2 linked regions of the Kluyveromyces lactis genome follow. The main gene of each other region encodes a partner of the protein of the gene in region 2 in a complex. Links are inferred from orthologs where the notes say so. Each region holds a gene or a part of one and is shown on either strand. Other genes may lie near its edges. The genes, in order: DAD2 and ASK1.

Region 1 (7,328 bases), on a different chromosome or scaffold from region 2:
CTCCACGTCAGTCTGATTATCGAGCAATGTATTAATATTTTGTGTTTGAACCTGCAAATGTGTAGCCAATTCACTCTGTAGCGATGCAATATCTACTGCGGTTCTCCGTAGTGCCTCTGCTTTTTGTAATTCTTCGTTCTTCAAATTAAGAAGTTCTTCATGCTCTGTGGCCAAGATTTGTAATTGTTCTGAAGAGAGTTTGGACATCGTTTCCTCGTACTGTTTGATTTCTTCAACAGTTGTCGTTATCATAGGAGACTGTGATACAGAAATTTCTTCAGGTAAGTGTAATTGAGCATTGAAATCAATGGCTTCGATATGTCTTTGTCTGGATAATCGTGTCTGCTGAATGGTTGACAACCTATCTGAAATCTTCATGAGCCACATATTCAATGACTGTAATATACCCATACGAAATTGATTATTCACCTTGTGGAAACTGGATACATCGTCAATTGATCTAGAGAAAAATGGTACGGTTGCGGACCATTTCTCTAACTTTTCTTTCATCATTTCTTGTCTCTGTCTTTCATACGATTCCAATTGCTTATATTTCTCGAAATATTGCTGTAATTGAAGTTTGCTCTCTGTATCAAAATCATCTTTCTCCTGATCAGTCATGTCAGTAGCACTTTCGTACCTGGGAGTCAATTGCCTTATCACTATCTGGAATTCCATAATATGTTTCATCAACTGCTTACTTTCTTTTACAAAAGTATCCTTTACACTAAACTTTTCCTTCACCTTTTCTCTATCCTCTCTCGCTTTCGTATTATTCAATTCGTTCCTAGCATCATCAATTCCCTGAGTCTCTGCAATCACTTGCATGTACTTTTTGAAGAGCTCAGTTCTATTACTCATATTAAGGTAGTCACTTTCTTTGTATATATTCTTTTTGACACTTACTCAACATAGAAAAGCTTGAACAAGGAACGCTTATAGTCCCAGATTAGATAGGGTAAACACACACGATAGTTGCCTCTAATTGGACAGTTAATAGACAGTATAATTACCAGTAGAACGGTACCTCCTTAACCAAAGTAACCTTTGGTTAAATTTGATTCGCATTCGTTTGCCAGACCAAAGCTTCATCGAGGATGGAATTAAGAATTTAGGTAGCACGTGACATTGTTTCACCATCATTACCCGGCCATTGAAAAATTCCCACAACACGAAAACGCGTTAAGAATCAGACTACGGCTTTTAAGAGTTAAAGGCCATCTCTAGTTTAAACTCTATCTTACTTCAACCATCCTTCGACTCCTTTGGCGTTTTATCGGATCATTAAACAACCAACATTTGTCAACCATGACGCTGAGCGATGAAAACGTGAAGAGAGTTAAGCTTGAGGCTGTTAACGCGGAAGAACAGCAGTATTTGGATTTATGTGAAAGGATTATCAATGAGGGAGAATTCAGACCAGATAGAACTGGTACAGGGACTTATTCCCTTTTTGCGCCTCCACAGTTACGGTTTAATTTGAGCAATGATACTTTCCCGCTTCTCACTACGAAGAGAGTGTTTACGAAAGGTATTATTTTGGAGCTCTTATGGTTTGTTGCTGGATGTACAGACGGGAAGAAATTATCAGAACAAGGCGTTAAGATATGGGAAGGTAACGGTTCTCGTGAGTACCTGGACTCACTTGGGTTGACTGACAGAAGAGAGGGGGATTTAGGACCAGTTTACGGGTTCCAATGGAGACATTTTGGGGCCGAATATAAGACATGTGATGATGATTATAGTGGTCAAGGTGTTGATCAGTTGAAGGAGATTATTCATAAGTTGAAGACAAATCCATACGACAGAAGAATAATTCTTTCTGCATGGAACCCTCCGGATTTCCCCAAGATGGCTTTACCGCCATGCCATGTTTTCTCGCAATTTTACGTCAGTTTCCCCAAGGGAGAAGGTGCCAAACCAAGATTGTCATGTGTACTTTATCAGAGATCATGTGATATGGGTCTAGGAGTACCCTTTAACATCGCGTCGTATGCGCTACTGACGAAGATGATTGCTATGGTCTGTGATATGGAACCTGGTGAATTTATTCACACTTTGGGTGATGCGCATGTTTATAAAGATCATGTTGATGCATTAAGGACACAAATTGCCAGAGAGCCAAGAGCTTTCCCAAAATTGAAGATAAAGAGAAATGTCAGTGATATCGACGATTTCAAATACGAAGACTTCGAAATAACTGACTATAACCCTCATGGGAAGATTCAAATGAAGATGAGCGTTTGAGGATCATGGATAATTGGTATCATTTGTCTATCTAATGTATGTACTTAATATTATCTATATCATGCTCAAATACCGGAAAAAAAAAAAGATTCATATGATATGTGCCATATGCTGGTATCGAATGTTGGTATGGGACGGGTTGAATGCTGAGGTAGTTCTATCATATGCTTATTTCGTCATTATGAATTCTTTTACGTTTTTTGTTCATGTCTTCTTTTGCTCTGACACGATGTGTCCTGGATACATGTTTCAGAGAAATTCCATCTATAATTTCAAATGCTGCTAGATCTGAAGTAGCCTGTTTAGTTCTTGTCGGTTTCACGTTGCTATTTTCATTTTCATCAGATACATTTGGATCGGACGAGTTGTTTTCAATAGCTTGTTGCTTTGTGGGCAATGTGTTGAACTTGACATCTTTAAGCACTCGCGATTTAGTGTGGCTTATTGCTTTTACGGCAGTAGATGTTTTAACTTTTCTGTTGATAGCGTTAGCTGATAATTCTTTCAGAGCGATTTTAGGTTTAACGTTTTGTGCAAGGTGAATCTCATGTAATGGTAAAGCCGGTGGTTCCTTTCTGTTCTCTTCTTCCACTGTTGCAATGACGACATTTGTGTCAGGTACGCCAGCAGGCACTAAGAGTTCTTCCTGATCATCGTCATCAGACGGTATTCCCTGTTGTTGGTTATTTCTACGTTTCACTTGTAAATCATGAATATCGGTGACAGTTGTGGCATCCACCAATTTTTCAGTGGGTCTACGCATCTTAGCACGTAGTGATGGGAGTTTATAGTTGACAGCTTTGCCTCTAGTCCTTCTTTCTCGTTTTTCATCATCTTTATCGTAATCTGTGTGGGGCATAATATCATCTTGGCCACCTTTCAGTTTCGTCCTAGGATGTTTCATGGAATGTTTAATTTTCGATTGTGATGGGATTGTGCACTGGACGATATTCATTGAGTCATCAGCCTCATTGTTGTTTGTCTCTTCTCTGTCGTTGTATACATCAATTTTCGATTTCGACGTTTCCAGTAGGATATGTGAATGCTCGTGAGTTGAAGTTTCCTCTGGAATGGAATATTCAATGACTGATGTAGTGAAATTGTAAGAATCATCTTCGGCAAGTGCAGTTTCCATTTCTGTAGTATTATTTTTATTGGTATTGCTACATTCAGTGCCTGTGTTAGTAACAGATGGAAGGACCGGTACCAAAGGTATCGTAGAGACATTCTCTTTTCCCTCGTCTTCACGCTCTTCTTTTGTATGCTTGTTCTCCTGAGACTCTTCCTCAGGTACTGAGGTGGCTGCAGTACTAGGCGGCGGTTCATCCTCAGTTATCGGCAGTTGATTCAGTTCTAGTTCCGGGTCCTCATCGTTAAACTCGAAATCTGCAGGAATGAACAACGACTCTCTCCGTGAACTCTTACGCCTCCTCTTTCTCAGAGGTCGTACCTCATCATCATTCAGCTCGAGACTATTCCCGCTATTTTCATGGTTATCTTCCGCAATTGGATCCTCAAACCCAACTGGTTTCGTTGTGGTATTTGCACCAGTAAACTCCACTTTCTTCGCAGATCTCGGGCTTATACCATTCGAGCCTCTCAAAATCGGTTTAAGAGGGTTATCATGAATACCTGATTCTAAACCCTGGCTCTCCCGTACTGTGGTCAACAATTGGTTCATTTGCAAGAATTTTTCTACAATTCCGTCCTCTAACGTCTGGAAAACAGTATTGAGCTTCTCACGATAGCGCAATTCACCCATAGAAAGCCGCGACCGTAAGGAAACATTCTCTTGCACCAATTCACTCACTTTAGTCTCCATATCAGTGATTTTCATCATAAGACTGGAATTATATTTCGCAAGCTGACTGTTCTGCTGTAAATAAATTCCCTTTTGTTGCTCAAGCATAGCTTGAAATTCATCGTACTGCGAAGAAGCGCTCATGTTGCACTCTCACAAAACTTAGTAACACTATCCGCCGTCAATTCGGGTCCCTATAGACTTAGGAATCGCTCTTCTTTCAGTCAATGAACAGGTTATTTAAACGCTGAATGAGATCTAAAGCTTTGAATGTTTTCATTGTTTACGTTTTGTTCTACGATGTAAACACAAAAAAACAAGATTACCCGGATCATATTTAGTACTACATTTAATTCAAATGAGGTAAGTTGGACATGTAATGGGCAATTTGATGTTATCCAACCCTTCGTTCATTCTAAATAGCGGTGTTAATGCTTAGCGTAGCTTGTATAGATCAATCTCCCCTGATACAAGTCGGTTTTCTCGAGTTTTCTTCCTTTATTTCAATATCGGAATAATATGAAATCACGACTTTGAACTAATCTCTACAATGTGAATTCTTTCAAAGACTAGAAGAACCAAGAATTATCAGCTAAGATAGACACTTCTCGGAGCGAGTTGGATGATATATTCTAGCTGAAGAGTAAGAGGTTTGGGTCACCTGAAAAAAAGTTGTCAGTATGGCATTTGAAACCGAGATCGAGACTAAGAGAAGAGAATTGAATTATTTGAAGCATGTTTCTGCATTGACACAGAAATTAAAGGCTCAATTGGACGAGCTGAGCGTTCAGGTAGCGCAGATGAATAGCAATGCTGTGACTGTTAAAGACGTAATGGCTAATTGGGACTCGGTTCTTCGGTCTATCTCTCAGGCTTCGATATCTTTACTTCAGTATACAGAAAACGACTATGAGACTGGGAAATGGGCCAGTAAAGAGGAACATAGAAACCAACAGGGCGCTGAAGATGAAAGTGCTGCGTCAGAAAGTTCAGAAGATAACCAGCAGCGGCAACAGGATCAATTACCTCCGCTTCCGGAAACTTTGGTACGGGTGAAAGTTGCAGATGACGTTGAATAACGTTTTTATTGAATATATACATATGGTGTATAAACAGGTTTTATACTATGTACAATTAATTGGTGTGGCACCTTCTTCTATTATTGAATTAGAAAGATGTGGGACTTGTCTCGATTGTGTTAGTTGCGTAATTGATGACACATTGGTTACCGGTTTCCTCGTTGATTTCTCCAATGATGGATTGTAACATCGTAACGTCCAAATTCGAATTAGCGAAAAGAGCAACCTCTCGTTTGACGTCGCTAGCTAATTTATTAAGATCGGTTAGTCCATGGTACATGCCATCCAGGTATGAGTCAGTGATCAATTTCTCATTGGCCAAGTTGTCGATGATTGGAAGTTCGATACTTTGATGGTAGAACTGCTGCTTGAAAAAGACCCTTAAAGTTTGTCTAACCGCATTTTCATCGGATAAGAGACACCTTCTCCAGATCTGGTACTCGCAGTACTTTTTTACTTCAGTGGGTAACGTGTGATCAATGGCAAGGATACTCAATGCAAATCCATAAGAAGTATCTTGATTTAATAGTGTGAATAATTCTATCATATGCGGCACTGAGAGAGATTCTCTCCTCTTCACAGCATCGCTCAAATATTTGAACAAAGTTCGATAGGTGGTAAAGTCTTTGAATAGTGGGTTGAGAGTTGATTCTTGTAGTTCTTGGGATAGAAGAATTTGCCCATCGATGAGATCTAATTCGGTTTGAATTTCGTTTAGCTTTTCAAGATCTTGAACTTCCGCGGCAAGAGCTGTTAATTTGGCAATACTCAATTGTGCCTGTCTTTGTTTCAAATCTTGACCCAGCGATTGAGTTCCAGTAGAAATACTCAACAAAGTTGTAGTTGCTTCGTCGTATTTATGGCAATATATGTTTCCAATCCATTTAACTTTGCCATACTCGGGACATTCTCCTAAGAACTGGTCCAAATATTCTGAATGGGTTTCACCAAACGATTCGTAAAGATCATCCCATAGCCCTTCCTTGATATAGTAGGAAAATAAGGATTTTGCAAAGTCGTATCCGTATTTCTGGAAGAATTCATCGTATAGAGAGAATGCGGTAATTTTTGGCAGAGATTGCAAAGTTTCAACTAAGCCTTCAAAGTCTTGGTAAAAATCTGTGATTAGAATTGAATCCTGAGACCTGTTAACATCCCTAAGGACCCTATTCCAAAGTAAATGATTTTCTTCGAAAAACTGTTTATAACTAGAATCAGTAATGGCATTTGCATCAATCCACATGGTTATTTGCCTGACCATATAAAATAGAGACTTAACCAATAGCAGTAATTCCTCTACAAATTCTGACACAACGGCAAGATCTTCAGAGGCATGCCTTAACAAGAAGAAGATGTCATTAAGATTTTCTATTATGCTATTTGTTGTGAACCAAGGGATATTTTTTGATACATCATCTGGGCTCATCTGGAAAAGTCCATACCTGTAGCTGTTTTCACATTCTTCTAATATGGAATGATAAACTAGTTGATTTATAAGCTTTGCGATCTGAGATTTTAACATAGTTTCATTTGTGGATTTCATTAGGTCTTTCAAATGCTTCAAAAAGGCGCCCAATAATTCTGGAATCTTAACAATGCCGTCTGAGATAAAATCAGAATCCGATTGATAGGAACTTTCTGATAGTACTGTCTTCCAAGCTTGTGAAATAGATGTTGGTTGTTGCGGTAGTAAAGAGTACAAGCTTTCCAAACATTTTATCATTTCAAAATCAGAAATCAAGTCCAGTTTGAATTGGGAAGATGTTTGATCCAAAAAATTATGAGCAACAAATGTGAGAAGTCTTTCAAAAAGTTCGCTTCTTATTTTTAAGTGTTTCATGGGGTTGTTAGCAACAGGCGGTATGTGGTTTGATAATGCATATTTAATCTCATCACTGGACATTTGAATATCTGTTTCAATTTCTTGTGGTTGTAGATCTAGATTGTCAGGTAAGTTGAAGTCTAGTAATGAATCCGTTGATTGTCCTCCAAAATAGACGTATTGATCCACATGAGACTTTATGAATCTAATTTCTTGGAAGTCAGAGTTTTCGTATTTTTCAAAAGTCTCCAACTTTAACGCACATGTTCTTCCATCAGTAATGTATAAGGAACTTGAATTACAATCGTACCCAAGAACTTTCATATCTTTGTTAAACCGTATAATGTCCTCCCATTTCCTTTTAAATGGATAATTAGAG
Region 2 (7,368 bases):
CTGAAGCTTTAAATCTCCAGTCTGAAAGCCATCAACAGTTGAAAGATGGTATCGAAACCAATTATGTCATAATGGCCGAAAAAGCAAAGGAAGAAGCCAAGGTTTCCAGTGAAGAAGCAAGGGTCAAGCAATTGGAAGTAGATGCGATAATTAACGAACGTCAAACTGAACTATCAAACACCGAAATTGAAGTAAAGAGGGAAAAACTTAAATTAATTGACGCTATGAAAGAAGTTGCTGAAGTAAAGAATGAGGATAAAATTGACGAAGAAAAGGCCAAGGCTTTCCTGGGAACAACATCTGGAGAATTCCTTGCTAGCCAAAAAAAAGTTGAGCCAGCAACTAAATTGCAATCTGACCCAAAGTTATCAGAACCTTCTTCAAAAAGTACCAAAATTGAAGGTGTTACTGGAAATGTTAAAGCGGATGTCCCTGCCTCTCCACCTGCTCACAAAAAGCATTCAATTGGAGGATTAACCTCTCCATTGAAATCAAAGAAAAAATCTGATAAGGACCAGAAAGGATCTTCTATCAAGAAATTTTTTGGTTTGAAGCCATCTGATCAAAATAAGAATACAAAGACCACGCAACCAACTCCTCTTAAAAGTTCCCCAAAGCCTTCTAATAAACCAGTAACGGCAACTGTCACAACCGAAAAGAAGGAAAATGTTGAACCGAAATCTACAGCAACAGAAACCAAACCTTCACTGGAACCATCATTTAGTGGCTTTAGTCAAGGCTCCGTTCATAATAAAGTCGAACAGTCAGATGCTTCTGAAGTAGAAGGTGGAAAAGAAGAGCCTACTTCCAAGGACAACAGAAAGTCCTTGTTCAAAGAAGTATTTTGATTTGAGCTGTGAACATGGTCTGCTCACATTTTTTTATACTATTGAACTCTAAAACCAATTCATCACGTATATCAAAAAGTTCTTTTTATTGATTGATCTTTTAATTACAGTGTCAGAATGATTCAACTCTTCATAATTTGAAGCCATTTCAAAGTAACAAACCGTTATGTATCACTATGAACTTTATTTTTTTCTCTATCTCATAACACTTTTTAAAATTCCCAGAAGCCTGGTAATTTATTCTGTTCTGTTTATTCTATCTATAATATACTCTATTTTTTGTAAAGTTCTAACTAGTATTATCATTATGCTATATTTCAGAATATCCTTCCGAGTAGTTTATATTTACAACTTCATTAATAATTTCTTGAGAAACTAAGTGAGTTATAGTGCGTTCAACTGATTGTACTTGTAATAGTTCAAATTCTCCGTAATTGTGATTTGATGGAAATACTTGGACTGGGTATATCTTCCGCCAATATACCAGTCAACAGAGACAATAATGAAATATAATCCGAACCAAAATGCCAATAGCCATTCAAAACAGGCAGTCGTTGATCTATCTTCTAAGCATGCAAAACAAATAGCCCAAACGAAAGCAGCTATTACCCAAAATGCCTTTAGTAAGCCACTGATAGTATACTTGTTCCAAACATGGCCGTGCCATTCATTCCACCTTGTGTCTTTGCCGATATCTTCACTACTTGTAAGAGGATGGACGACAGCGTAGTGTCTGCCCATTGTCATATATTGTGCGACATGACAAATTACACTCAATCCGACAAATGCACAGAATATACCCACCATGGAACTGTGCACCCTAGGATACGTGTTTGTTGAGAAGATAGTGCACATAAGCAAAGCCAATTCACCTATACTTCCTAGTACGAATGAGGCCCATACTAGATTCCGTTCATGTTTGGTAAAAAATGGAGGCATGACATATTTCTTCTGAATTAAAGCTTCGATGTAGTTCGATTCCATTATAGAGCTATCGTTAGATTTTTCTAAGTCATCATGATAAGTATACGGTAACTTGAAAGGCCAATGACCAGATCTTTGAAAATACTCTAGAGCAACCATGATTACGTATCCTAGACCTTGCCATGCCGCACAAGAAATAAACAACGGTTTTAAATTGGTCGCACCAATATGGGATATATAAACCGGGAACTGGTCTGTATGCATGAACCAATAAATGGGATGACCTTGTCCTGCCCAACATGCCAACATCGCAATTAGCATCCCATACCATGGAATGAAAGCTATCCAGGGAAAGATAAACCAGTAGTTACCTGGACGTGGAAACATATTAGTATAGTCTTGCGGTTTACGTTTATACCTGTATCAAATCCAATCCTTATGAGAATGTCTACCAGTGATATTCTTTAAAGGAATGAGCTATGTTGACCTTGTCCCGTCAAATTCGGCTGGTATAATATACTCATTCTTTTCCTTATATATCTAAAACCCGACTTCCACGAATAAAAAACAATATAAACTATATTTGACATATTTATATATATATGCTTTTATATGGCATGGCTTGTGTATGGCACTGCAGTGATGCTGTCACTGATGCCTTAAATTACAACTTGCTATTCACTGAATGTAACTGTCAATCGGCTCGATGATACACTAGCTTGAGACACCCTGCGCGATTTCTGGGCGCTTTGTTGCGATATTTGCTCCAGTAAAAAAAAAAGGTTTTCTTTCGATGCTTTACTAATAGGTTTCGAGGCTTAAGAGCAAGGATGGATAACGTAATGGATGATATCTAATTTTCCACTCCGAGTAGGCAGAGCCTTCTAAGCCATTGATACCCTTGAATAGCAGACGTGACCGGTGTCCTTGAATCAGTACGTATTATGTAGTTTAGTTTATACTTTCAGCTTGGAAATATCGTAAGCCTCATCCGAATCAGCCTAGCGCTTCTTCGTTGATCTGCAGAAAGTTACCTTGGCATTGCAGAGACTTTCTTTATGTCATTTCAAATTTCTTCTTAGAGTTACAAGAGGAAATATGAATTTGACCAAAAAGTCAACAAACCGGTTTGACAGAAAGGATTTGGATTTGGAAGTGTAAATAGTGACGGTTACAGGTAACAGGACGCGGTGTCCGTTGTTATAAATATTACAGTAAACAAGGAAAAGGACGCAATTAGTCTGTGCCAATTAGCTAACACTAGGTTTCCTGTTTTACATCATGGATGCAGTGAATATTGAACAAATAGATCAAGAGATCACGTTAAATTTACAATCAATCGATTCAGACCTCTCGTACTGTTTCAACAAGATAACAAAGGATATAATACCGTACGTGACGCGATATGGACAGACTTGTGAAGATATCACGAATTCTAGTTCGTGGCTGAAAGAAATGTTTCAGCAGAGTGCTAATGTTCAGTTGGTGACGGATCAGGCTGTGGAATCTGCGGGTCAGGTTTTGGAGCCCCGGACTTCCTTATTTCCAGAGGTAGAAAACGAAACTGATGAGTTCCATACAGTCGATCAATACCCTGCTTTATCTCAAACCGGAGTAAGTTCCGCTGGTGCCCCCACCACGAAAACAGGAGGATCGGTAAAACAGGATCAATTTCAAGATCAGGATACCGATGAGTTGACTCAGGATAGTGCAATGGAAAAACAGAGGAAGAAGAGAAAAGTTTCGTTACAAATTCACCAACATTTCAATTCGTCGTCATCTTCTAATTCTTCAATGGAGAATGATATCTCTGCAAACAGTTCCCCAATAAAGACGATCCCCCCGGAAACAGAAACTGGGACAGAAACACATAACAAAATCCAGGGCGAATTGGCCAAGCCGGGAACCGTTATTCATTTTAACAGCAAACGCGATTGAAGCTCTGTCTTAGCCTTCCCCCACTCACTTCTATATCATAGTGTGTGAGGTATACATTGTTACTCAGGGTTCCAGATCCTATGACCTGAACGAACAATCACGTGATATAATACTTTCCTTTTTAGTTTCATGCTTCTATAGCTTCGTTTTCAATCGGATTTCTACATGGTGAATTTGACATTCTGATTATGTGCGATGCAGAGACTAAGTGAGTATTCATATACGATACAAGATACGCCACAAAACTACCATGGGTAACGTGATGAGTGCAAGTTTCGCTACAGAGTGTACACCTTTGAAGGGTAAGTACGATAAATGTTTTAACGACTGGTACAGCGAGAAATTTTTGAAAGGTGAGTCAATTGAAAACGAATGCCAAACCGAATGGTACGAATATATGGAATGTGTCCAAGCTAGCTTGGTGAAACAAGGCATAAAACCAGCTCTAGATGAAGCACGTAAGGAAGCACCATTCGAGAATGACGGAAAACCTGTAGAGCCTTGAATTGCGGACCAAAGAAACGCATACATACCTGCGCCATTCGCTATGATGAATCTAAGTATAAAATAAATTAAAATGGGTTTCATTTGAAACCTCTGTAAATAGAGAATACAATACAATACCTAGCGCGTATTTTTGACCACAGTAGGGTTAACATTACCAGGAGTTTCGACTGAAGTTGTACCACCGCTACGTGATTATACCTTAATCCTTTCTCCACCGTAAGTCAGGGCAACGTTCGTCCTTTGTGATATCTGCTGTGCAACTCTCTTAATTGGGGTAGCCTTCAGAGACACCTACATAATTCTGCATATAATAATTCAAACATATCACCTAAATAACTAAAGCACAAGAAGGTCCAGTATAATGACTGCTGTCATATTCTTGTAGAACTTCGTGCCAGCTCCATCTCACTGTTTCTATCTCCTCATTGCAGTACTAGAATAGAATATTCTGATTACCCTCCCTCCTTTTTTACCCTATTGCCACCAATAGAAAAATTGAAATAAGAACATTTTCGATAAAAGTAAAATTTGATTTCGAAAGATCTGGGAAAATAGGAAACAAATATTGTTAAGTTAGATAGCTTAATACTCCAGAGAAAGAGTTCAAGGATTGAAACGGCGTTTAAGAGTTCCATTTTTGTAACGATACCTATCTCGCGTGCTTTTCTTGTTGCGAGCAGATACTAAAATTGTACTTTTTTTGGAAAGAAATTATACTCAACATTTTCCAATAAAGCATTATAAAAAATTTGCATACTTGCTTAAACTTCTAAGATTAACAACAAGCAATCAGAACTACTTCAAGAGAACTACTACTACTCACGCAATCCAATTACAGATTATTACAATAACGATCGCCTTCCCTCTTTTGCTAGCAATAATTTAGGTTCGCACAGTTTTTATCAATAGAAATAATCCCGGATGTCACAATTTAAGAGAAACGCCAGTTCGAAGAAACTGGACTCTGAGACTAAATATAAGCTTGAGACGCTATCAGAATTGTTCCCAGATTGGACAAATGATGATTTAATTGATTTAGTCCGTGAATATGATGATCTAGAAACCATAGTTGATAAGATAACTACTGGAGCAGTGACAAAATGGGACGAAGTGAAGAAACCATCTAAAAAGGAAAAGCCTGCATCGCATATAGAACACCAATCTCATAGTTCTCATCAACAGCTGCAACAACAAGCCGCATCACACCTGGACCCTGAAGATTCTCCTTCTCTAATAAATCAACATCATTCGCATCAAAGACAATCTAGATCCACCTCTAAGTTCAGTAATAACAGCGCCAATGGCAAATCAGTGCAACAAAGACAGCAACACCAGTCAAATAATAAAGATAACAAGAAGCAGCCTTCAAAGGATAGTTTGAAGCCTGCTCCATTACCATCTAAATCTAACGCTGGTAATAACGCGGGGTCTTGGGCCGCCGTATTGGCAGAAAAGAAAAAGGCTCATGAAAAGAAGATTGACCATACAAAGTCGTCTAATACAATTGCACATGAATCTACTAATGAACAATCTGAATCTAATGAACATACCGAACCAACTGAAGTTGAAGTTGCACCTGCCCAGCCTGTTGACTCTGCACCAGAATCTGTCAGCCATCAACATGCGCCAGAATCTGAATCAATCGCCACCACAAACGGTGATTCTAAGCCAAAGAGTTGGGCTGACATTGCAAGCGCAAAGAGCAGACAAAGACAACTACAGCAACAGAACAAGAAGCAACAACAGCAACAAAAATCTAAGCCATTGGACAACTTTGATGCTTTGAAGGAAGAAGTTGATCAGTTGTCTTCTGAGCAAACGGAGAATGGAAACCACGCTATTTCTCAAGAACCAGAACAACAGCAACAACCATATGCTCAACAGTCTACATTTGAGGAACCTGCCCAACAAGAGGAAGAAGTCGTAGCGGAAACTACCGAACAACAACAATCACAGCAGCCACAACAGGAAGAGCCTGCTCAACCAGAAGTTTCTCAAGTTCAAGAAACTGCCCCTGTATCTTTGCCAGAGGAAACCAATGCTGCTAATGGTGTCTCTAACATCCAGTTCGGTTCTGAAGACAAGGCTGCTCAACAAACTCTTGCATCTCAAAACTATTACCAACAACAACCAAACCAACAATATGCTCCACAACAAGTCCCACAATCTGCAGCAGCTGCAGCAGCAGCTCAAGCTCAAGCTCAACAATACTACATGTACCAAAACCAATTTGGTTACTCGTACCCAGGTATGTTCGATAACCAATCTTACTTGGGCTACGGCCAACAATTTGGTGCCCCACAAGTTCCTCAAGGCCAAGTTCAACCAGGTCAACAAGCACAACCAGGCCAGCAACCAGCTGCTGGTTCTCCAAACGCTCAACAAGGTCAAACAGCTTCAGCTTATGGTGCCCCATCTGGTACTGGTTATCAATCTCAAGAGGTTCCACAGCAATCCCCAGCTCAGCAACATGTCCAACCTCAACAATACAGCGGTTACGGTATGCCATACATGTACTACCAACAATCTTTCCCATACGGTCAACCACAATATGGCATGGCTGGTCAATACCCATACCAAATGCCAAAGGCTGGATACAACTACTACCCACCTCAGCCCCAATCTCAACAACAAGGTGGTCAAGCCCAAGGCTCAACTCAATCCCAAGTTGAAGAGGAACAAGCTAATGGTCAACAAGGTGGTGCCAATGCTAATGCTGCCAATGCATCTCAACAGTACCAGCAATACTATCAATATCAACAAGCTCAAACTCAACCACAACAACAAGCTCAGCAAGGTATGCCTTACGGTTATTCCTCGTATGACTACTCCTCTCAAACTTCAAGAGGTTTCTACTAAAAGGTATAAACTTCTTCAAGAGATATTATTGTAAGCTGCAATGATTTCATACTTATTATATTTGGGACCCCGGGCGATTCTAAGATGTTGGCTCACGTGATTTGTTGATACTACATGAATACCAACAAGGCTTTCATTTATTATTTACATCGGAATGTTTAGATTCGTAAATAGTTTTCCTTAACATTAAAGAAAAATTCAAAACCGTTTACATGGCAAATGTCCGATACGTAATAAGACTGTTAGAATATACCCACTTCAGTTTCAAATTTTTGTAGGCAAGCTGGTAAAC

Evidence for each region.
Region 1: the proteins of ASK1 (region 2) and DAD2 are in contact, whole or in part, in a cryo-EM structure (PDB 8Q84), measured with the Saccharomyces cerevisiae proteins. The link is inferred for Kluyveromyces lactis from reciprocal best matches to the Saccharomyces cerevisiae genes ASK1 and DAD2. Residues at the interface, in NP_012872.2 of Saccharomyces cerevisiae: Lys6, Glu7, Thr9, Leu10, Leu13, Asp14, Glu16, Ile17, Asn20, Leu21, Lys23, Ile24, Asn27, Leu28, Phe30, Cys31, Lys34, Ile35, Asp38, Ile39, His42, Tyr46, Ile49, Arg52, Ile53, Ser56, Thr57, Trp59; in NP_013009.1 of Saccharomyces cerevisiae: Ile4, Asp5, Ile8, Lys11, Arg12, Glu14, Leu15, Leu18, Gln19, Ile21, Thr22, Thr25, Asp26, Leu28, Lys29, Leu32, Thr33, Leu35, Asn36, Ile39, Lys40, Met42, Gly43, Ala46, Asp47, Val49, Ala50, Met53, Asn54, Trp56.

What each region holds. Positions count from the first base shown.
Region 1 is NC_006037.1:697,318-704,645, forward strand, and holds DAD2 (Dad2p), read left to right. Parts: upstream 1-4,728; coding exon 4,729-5,127; downstream 5,128-7,328. Other genes in the region: UFE1 (Ufe1p), read right to left, coding at 1-861; CDC21 (thymidylate synthase), read left to right, coding at 1,309-2,247; SGO1 (Sgo1p), read right to left, coding at 2,408-4,192; NUP133 (Nup133p), read right to left, coding at 5,216-7,328. UniProt on the Saccharomyces cerevisiae protein: Component of the DASH complex that connects microtubules with kinetochores and couples microtubule depolymerisation to chromosome movement; it is involved in retrieving kinetochores to the spindle poles before their re-orientation on the spindle in early mitosis and allows microtubule depolymerization to pull chromosomes apart and resist detachment during anaphase.
Region 2 is NC_006039.1:1,070,410-1,077,777, forward strand, and holds ASK1 (Ask1p), read left to right. Parts: upstream 1-3,053; coding exon 3,054-3,710; downstream 3,711-7,368. Other genes in the region: LPX2 (Lpx2p), read left to right, coding at 1-848; SFK1 (Sfk1p), read right to left, coding at 1,233-2,159; MDM35 (Mdm35p), read left to right, coding at 3,961-4,215; DNA damage-responsive RNA polymerase-degradation factor DEF1, read left to right, coding at 5,139-7,076. UniProt on the Saccharomyces cerevisiae protein: Component of the DASH complex that connects microtubules with kinetochores and couples microtubule depolymerisation to chromosome movement; it is involved in retrieving kinetochores to the spindle poles before their re-orientation on the spindle in early mitosis and allows microtubule depolymerization to pull chromosomes apart and resist detachment during anaphase.